2 linked regions of the Oryzias latipes genome follow. The main gene of each other region encodes a partner of the protein of the gene in region 2 in a complex. Links are inferred from orthologs where the notes say so. Each region holds a gene or a part of one and is shown on either strand. Other genes may lie near its edges. The genes, in order: sost and lrp6.

What was found.
Region 1: the proteins of lrp6 (region 2) and sost are in contact, whole or in part, in a crystal structure (PDB 6L6R), measured with the Homo sapiens proteins. The link is inferred for Oryzias latipes from reciprocal best matches to the Homo sapiens genes LRP6 and SOST. Residues at the interface, in NP_001401174.1 of Homo sapiens: Arg28, Asp52, Val70, Ser71, Glu73, Leu95, Ser96, Asp98, Glu115, Arg141, Trp157, Trp183, Asn185, Ala201, His226, Phe228, Trp242, Met269, Arg336, His361, Asp379, His404, Asp406, Thr422, Glu447, Arg449, Trp465, Trp491, Asn493, His534; in NP_079513.1 of Homo sapiens: Leu115, Pro116, Asn117, Ala118, Ile119, Gly120, Arg121, Arg169, Thr171, Arg172, His174, Asn175, Gln176, Ser177.

Annotation. Positions count from the first base shown.
Region 1 is NC_019877.2:17,915,564-17,919,922, reverse strand, and holds the start of sost (sclerostin), read right to left. Parts: upstream 3,048-4,359; 5' UTR 2,718-3,047; coding exon 2,468-2,717; intron 557-2,467; coding exon 147-556; 3' UTR 1-146. UniProt on the Homo sapiens protein: Negative regulator of bone growth that acts through inhibition of Wnt signaling and bone formation.
Region 2 is NC_019881.2:23,647,137-23,650,942, forward strand, and holds part of lrp6 (low-density lipoprotein receptor-related protein 6), read right to left. Parts: intron 2,444-3,806; coding exon 2,309-2,443; intron 2,055-2,308; coding exon 1,658-2,054; intron 1,464-1,657; coding exon 1,292-1,463; intron 1-1,291. UniProt on the Homo sapiens protein: Component of the Wnt-Fzd-LRP5-LRP6 complex that triggers beta-catenin signaling through inducing aggregation of receptor-ligand complexes into ribosome-sized signalosomes.

The sequences.
Region 1 (4,359 bases), on a different chromosome or scaffold from region 2:
GTGATGGAGAGTTATGGACTGATTTGTTTCAATCAGCCTTAAAATTAGCTTTTATTTAACTTTTCAGTTTTCTCTTTCACCCCTCCTTGTGAAAAGGAGATTTATCGTGGGTGACGTGTGTCGGAGTTCTTTGGTCTCTGCTCAGTTCAGTACGAGTTTCCCGTGAGTGGAGTACTATTCTTGCTCCGATCTTTAGCCAAGCGGCCGGGCTTCTTGTTGCGTTGCGTCTTTGGCAGCTCCTTGGCTTCCGATTGGTTGTGGTGAGGCCTGAAGCGCTTGCACTTACAGGAGGTCACCACCCGGATTTTGTAAGTCCGAGTGTTGCCGTTGGGACACTGCAGCTGGACCCTCCGTGCGCGGGAGTGCGCCGGGACACAGCGGTAATCTGAAGCGCTGCTCCTCCACCACTTTCCACGGATGATTGAGTTCGGCATGAGGTAAGCGGGAAGGCACTGACCCGAGCACACCAGCTCCTTGACAGGCTTGGCGCTGCGGCAGGATCCGTCGGTAATGTAGCGGGTGGAGCGCAGCTCCCTGCAGCTCAGCTCTGAAGCACCTGGGGGGGGGAGAGAGCGCAGTTAATGCACATGGACTGAACCCAAAAGAAACACAGAGGGGGACCATCAATCTGTGGGTCAACTGCTTCTTTACAGCAGCTGGGTCTCCTTCCAGTCATTTGTCCGGTTCTATTTCTATCAACTGAAAAAAAAAAAAAAATCCAACACATTCAACTGAAATCCAGACCTGAAATATCGACAAATAAACAAACAAAATCAGGTCTATTTGACTCAAATCATTTTTACTTGATAAAGAAGGGCAACTGGCAGCAATAAGCAAATAACAAATCCAGACCAGAAGGCCATTAAACACACCAATCAAAGCAAACTGAGGTTTGGCTTGGATGAAAAAGCTGGCATCCTGCACCGGACCTCAGGAAGTGTTTGCGGTGACGGAGGACTAAATGACAGTCTGGTTGTTTTAGAGCAGCACAACTTGGACATCAGCCCGGCAGATTGGAGACACTCAGCTTGTAATCCTGCATTTTCAACAGGCAGGAATCACTGCCTAGTGTTTCTTTACAGGCTGTGTGCACAAAATAAAAAGGAGGAATTGTTGGTTAAGAAATGACACACTCAGAAAGGGATCTGTTTTCCTTTGTGGCCTTCCTTGCCAAAAATAAAGACCCGAACAAAGGATGGATGTGAGGTGACTTTCCTGTTTTTTGTTGGGTTTTTTCTAACCAGTAGAATATGATCTGGTGTTTTTCTCCATCGACTGCTGCAAGGACCAGAGCAGTTTCAAAAAAGATCCCTTGGCAGCACTTTGCAACAAATACCTGTCAGGTGGTTTTGTCACATCACCGCCTTTCTCCAACCGCACGGTTGCTATTCTCCTCTCAAACAAAGGCGGCCTGATGTACGGTTGCGTGAGTGGATTTTTGTTCTCCCACCCCCCTCGGCAGTGAAAGATGAGCCTAGGGAGAGGATTGGAGTGAAGCCAGGCTGTGGTCTCAAAGCCTGTGCTGTGACCCCACAAAGATCAGGGAGGAGCTGTCCCGACCAAAAGCCACACGATGGAAATAATCTGAGAGCTTTTTCTCCACCAAGCCCAACATGTGCTGCATATTCCTAAACAACAACCTGTTGAAATCAACTCATCTTTTCATCTTGAAATTCAAGAATTGCTCTCACTTTAGTGAAATCAGTTTTCCTGTTAATATAATCAATCATACTATTTGTTAGGGGGGGAAAAATGACCCCACCCCCCCATCTTAAATCACATTATCCGGCCTTCTCAATCATAACATGCTGGGAATACTGTCCAAAGGTGGGAATCCTTCTCAAATGATTGTACTTTAAAAGCTATTTAAAAAACCCTCCTAAAGACAACCCCCCCCCCCCCCCCCCCCCCGAAAAAAAAGACAGCAAACTGCAGGGCTTTGGGAAACATGTTGTTGCAATCAAATGGTTATGGCGTAAGTAGGGCTTGACTAATAGTATAAAGACAGAAGGAAACAACCTGGGAAGGGGGGGGGGGGGGGGGGTACAGAATTGGGGAAGGAACCACAAGAATGTGCATCTGATCATCCCCCCCCCCCCCCCCCCCATCAGTGTATTTAACAATACACACTCTCACACACATCAGCTCCTATACTGAAAGGGAAGCAGGTTGAATTTGGAAATGACAAAAAGCCAGTCTGCTGGACAGCCTTGAGTCTAATCCTGGCAATCAATTTAAAAATATTTATTCAGTTATTTAGAGATTTGATAGACTAAAAAAGTTGAATTTCTTTAAGTAGTTTTTTAAAGTGTTTTGTTAAAAATCTGTCTTTTAAGAGGAAAAATATTTGTTTAGAATTGCGGATTGGATTAGTAATCACCCATGTGCTTATCTTCACCACATTTTTCTACAAAGTTTGCCCAAATAGGTAATTGATGTAATATTTAAATATTAAAAGGACACTTACTATATGAAACTGTGTTTGCAGTCCTTCCACCGTTTTTCGCCCTGTTATTCAAAGTGTTGTTACTGTTGTTGTTGTTCTTGTTGGCTGCGTGCAGAATGGCCTCGTGCGGCGCGCCCGTGTTTTGCCCATAGTCCGGTAAAAGCTCGGTAGCATCATTCCTGATTCCCCGCCATCCCTTGGCGGCTGCGCAGCATCCCTGCAGCAGCAGCAGCGCCGAGCTGCAGAGCAGCAGCGCCGCGAACACCTGCATGCTTGTCGGGGCACAGATGGACCTCAACACAGGAGTAAATTTTTACAGAAAATGCAGACGGGAAAAATGTAAATAAATAAAAGCAAAAATACAGGAACGCGCAGGAACGGAGGAGTCCTTCTCCAAAGCGAGACGCGCTATTTAAAGCCAACTTTGCGGTCAGAGCGCACAATTACGCGCTGACACGGAGTGGGAGGAGTCGAACCTGGATGAGGGATTCATTGTGAATGGGGGGAGAGAGGAAGGTAGACATGAAAAAGAGTGAAGGAATGAGACCATGAAGGTCAGAGAAGATGAAAAGAGGAGGTGAGAGGAGTGGAAACGAGAGTTGTGGTGGAGTGACAGAGAGGAGAGCTGACTTAATCCAAGTGACGCAATTAGTGCGCACATAAGTGTTGGGGGGGGGGGGTGCAGCAACTATACTATGACGACTTTCTGAAGGCATCTTTCCTAGGGAGGGAAAAGGGGGTGTAGGAATCAGATCCTGTATGTTTGAGGAAAGGACCACACTCAAATGAATTATTCATGACGTGTGAATGACCCTTCATCAGCGACTCTCAGCATCATCAGGACTGTCTGCATGAATAGAAAATACATCACCAAGTGTCTGTTTACCAAATCTGAGTTTAGCAGAGGCTTTTCACGAGAATCTGATATTCTATATCTCCATATCTGTTTGGAATTTGTGAATTAAAGCTGCTTGGCAGCCCTCACGCCCCTGTGATGTGATGCCTGCTGACAGATGGAGGCTATCTCATTCAAACACTGCCCTCTTGAGGGAGAGCCTTGGGAAGGACATTCAGGCTCGTTAGCATCACTCTGCTGTTTTGCAAGGCAGTCCAGGACAAAACTTGATCAATCATAAGGTTCTAAAGTTCTGACTTTTAAAAAGGGAAGTTTGAGTTTATTCATGTCATGGATTAAATTCTGTCTCAAAAGGATGAGCCAAAAATCAGCTTGTAATGTTAGTAATGAATGATTAGGATCAATCAACAGGAAATCCCCCTCTTCGGAACCACTCCATAAGTGTCAGGTCCAATTCCTGTTCATGAAGTACAGGAAAAGTAATTAGGCTTCAGTTTGAAAGCCAGAGTTTATGGAAAATCCTCCCTGATTTTATCAAACAAACAATGCTAATATGTTAGTGAATCATACTCTGTTCAAAAACAAAAAGTGAGCGGAAAAATCTCTGTAATACACTGGAAATCTGGTTAACACCAACCTTTTTTATGGTTAGAATCCCATGTTGATGTTGTTCTTATTTCGTTTTGTCCAGAAGAACAAACATCCACTGACCCATCCATCTTTTTAACCCGCTGAACCCCTTTTAGGGTCGCTGAAGCCTGGATACTGTTAAGGCCACATTCAGCGATAAGAATCTAAAATAAAAAATGTTTTTTTAAAGACCCATAAAACTGTATATATTCAAAAATACTTTGCTCTCCAACATTGATCTTATTTCTCCTAGTGATTTCTAAAATACTGTAATGTCTTCTTACATCAATATTATGTACATCATTTTGTAATTTGATTTTATTATTGCTCAAGGTTTTTTTAATGATCTGCAATTTGGTATATCAGAAATTCAGAACTGGATAAAGATAACTTGTGTAAAAAAGAAAAAAGAAAAAGTTAGGTTAAA
Region 2 (3,806 bases):
AATGACAGACGTTCATCCAGCTGGTGGTCACATGACTGCAGCTGCTTTGACTTTTCCACAAAAACACTTGGAGAAAATCTCCAGAAGTGAGAAGCAGCGGCAGAAAAAGTTGCGAGGCGCTCTGACAAAAACGCGTCTGTGCTGGGAGGGGCCTGGTGACCCCGGTCCCCTGTAATCACCTGAACACGCCAGGAATGAAAACACCTGCATTCCTGACGGTATCGGGCTCCAGCGGGCGACAGCCTCAGACCCAGAGCTGGCGGTCTGATCTGATCGGAGCTGAAGCACAGCCAGCCATGAAAAATGTCAGGAATCTGCAGAAGAGACCAGCCAGGCCTGGAATCGGCACGGCCCCCGTTCCCCATCCGCGCCGCGTGGAGCTGCGCCATTGGCTGCCGCCAGGACGGCCCCGTGTGGTCGCCCCCACCCTGAAAGCATCAGGAAGGCGGTGGGTAAATCTAAGACGCAGTTTCCATCCCGGGAGCTTCAGCCAGAAGGTCTCCGCTGGTTTGGACGCGGACCGCAGGGCGGCTTTCACATTCTGGTCTAAACAGGGCCCACCGCAGCTGCAGCGCACGCCGCAATCAGAACCAGATGTGGGCCTTCACCAGGAGAACTGGGTCCGCTGAGGAACAGAGGGGGGAGGAGGCCAGCAGAGGCCCCTCTGACGGGGGCCAAAGAAGGGGCCCTGCAGCCCCCGGAGGGAAGCCGAGCGGTAAAACCAGGAGCAGCAAACTGTCAGACCCGACTCACTATAGACGTGGTCCACATTCAGACAGAACCTCTGCTGACCCGCTCCAGTTTGGGACTGAAACTGTTCTGTACCGTTTGAGAGCAAACAAGAGAAACGGGTTTTTGAAGGACGGAGGAGAGAACCCAGGGATCGGAGAACCCAGGGATCAGAGAACCCAGGGATCGGAGAACCCAGGGATCGGAGAACCCAGGGATCGGAGAACCCAGGGGTCGGAGAACAGGGGTCGGAGAACCCAGGGATCGGAGAACCCAGGGATCGGAGAACCCAGGGATCGGAGAACCCAGGGATCGGAGAACCCAGGGATCGGAGAACAGGGGTCGGAGAACCCAGGGATCGGAGAACCCAGGGATCGGAGAAGCGTTCCAAAAACCTTCAGAACTTCCTGAGGCCTGAGCAGCGTTCCCAGCTACTAGAACCTGTTTAGTTGTTTCTCTCTCAGAACTCCACACCCGTCCTTCATTTCTGTCTCACCCTCAGGTGTGAGAGCCAGCGTGGGCGTTACCTGGACCTGAGCGGGCCGGCAGAGCGACGTCTCACCTCGATCTTGTCCGTCTTGGCGTCCCCCCAGTACATCCTCCCTTCGTGGTAGTCGAGCGCGAGGCCGTTGGGCCAGCCCAGGGAGGTGTTCACCATCACCACCCGCTCCATCCCGTCCAGATCGGCCCGCTCGATCTTCGGCACCTCGCCCCAGTCGGTCCAGTACATGTATCTGTGACACAGAACCGGGCTGCCTCAGATCCTCACATCATTGAAACTGGTTTTGCTTTAAAATGTCCCTCCAAACGACGAAACACTTTGGTTGTTCACCATCTGACCTAAAGGAGAACATCTGCCCTGCTTCATCGCCGACAGTAAAACTCTGACCCACATCAAAGCCAGACCCCATCCAAGTCTTGGACTCACCCAGCCACAGGGTCCAGAACGATGGCTCTGGGCTCGTCCAGGTCCTCGGAGATCAAGATCTTGCGCATGGTGCCGTTAAGACGAGTCACCTCGATGCGGTCGGTCCCGGTGTCGGTCCAGTACAGGTTCCGGGCGATCCAGTCCACCGCGATGCCGTCAGGATGGCTCACCTGAGACGTGACGATAAACTGGGCGTCGCTGCCGTCCAGCCGCGAGCGACGGATGGCCTTCACATCGTCATCCGTCCAGTACAGGTAACCCTCCACGGGGTCGTAGTCGATGGCGATGGCGTGACGGATGTCTTCCACCTGCAGCACCACGTCCGTAAAGTCTGGCGTGTCCAGAGAGATCTGCCGCAGGTCGGTCCGCCGAGCCAGCAGCAGCATCTGGGTCGCACCTGGGGAGGTGGAGGAGGACGGCGACAAGGAGGCGGCAGAGGAAGAGGAGGAGGTCAGCTGTCAACAAGAAAACGCTCCAAATGTGGAGATTTAAACACAAATGTTTCAGCCTTTGACCCAAATGAGAGTTTGGGTCAAACAGAACCCAGTAGCAGAACATCCATGAAACCACAAACAACCTGTGGGTCAAACGATTAGCACAAACATTTCAATCGACCCCCCCACACACACAGAGAAGATGACCCCCCCTCACCGTCTCTGCAGGTCCTCCCGTCCTCCAGCAGCTGCACGCCGGTGGGACAGGCGCACCGGAAGAAGGGGCTGGACGGCGCCAGCAGGCACAGGTGGGAGCATCCGCCATTGTCCCGGGAGCAGGGACTGTTGACCGCTGCAGACACAGACCCCCCCCACATCACTCGGCTGCAGACACAGACCCCCCCCACATCACTCGGCTGCAGACACAGACCCCCCCACGTCACTCGGCTGCAGACACAGACCCCCCCACGTCACTCGGCTGCAGACACAGACCCCCCCACGTCACTCGGCTGCAGACACAGACCCCCCCACGTCACTCGGCTGCAGACACAGACCCCCCCACGTCACTCGGCTGCAGACACAGACCCCCCCACGTCACTCGGCTGCAGACACAGACCCCCCCCACATCACTCGGCTGCAGACACAGACCCCCCCCACATCACTCGGCTGCAGACACAGACCCCCCCACGTCACTCGGCTGCAGACACAGACCCCCCCCACGTCACTCGGCTGCAGACACAGACCCCCCCACGTCACTCGGCTGCAGACACAGACCCCCCCCACGTCACTCGGCTGCAGACACAGACCCCCCCACGTCACTCGGCTGCAGACACAGACCCCCCCCCACGTCACTCGGCTGCAGACACAGACCCCCCCCCACGTCACTCGGCTGCAGACACAGACCCCCCCATGTCACTCGGCTGCAGACACAGACCCCCCCCACATCACTCGGCTGCAGACACAGACCCCCCCCCACATCACTCGGCTGCAGACACAGACCCCCCCACGTCACTCGGCTGCAGACACAGACCCCCCCACATCACTCGGCTGCAGACACAGACCCCCCCCCACATCACTCGGCTGCAGACACAGACCCCCCCACGTCACTCGGCTGCAGACACAGACCCCCCCACGTCACTCGGCTGCAGACACAGACCCCCCCACGTCACTCGGCTGCAGACACAGACCCCCCCACGTCACTCGGCTGCAGACACAGACCCCCCCCACGTCACTCGGCTGCAGACACAGACCCCCCCACGTCACTCGGCTGCAGACACAGACCCCCCCACGTTACACGGCTGCAGACACAGACCCCCCCACGTCACTCGGCTGCAGACACAGACCCCCCCCACGTCACTCGGCTGCAGACACAGACCCCCCCACGTCACTCGGCTGCAGACACAGACCCCCCCACGTCACTCGGCTGCAGACACAGACCCCCCCCATGTTACACGGCCCCTCCTGCTGGGAGCATTTCACAGACCCTCTCCTCAGATCTTAGCAATCTCAGCGTTGGCCAGGAAACAGAAACTAAAATGTCACAAAGTCAGGCTCGGTCCTTACTGCACATGTGCAGTTACCAGGGCTGGCCTGCCCCACCATGTGCTCGTTTTCTTCTTCTTCTGTTTTGTTTGATGGCAGTTCGGTCCCCAGCGTACGAGGATACCGACACAGACACGTGTTGTTCACAAAGATGTTTTACTTTTAGATGCACT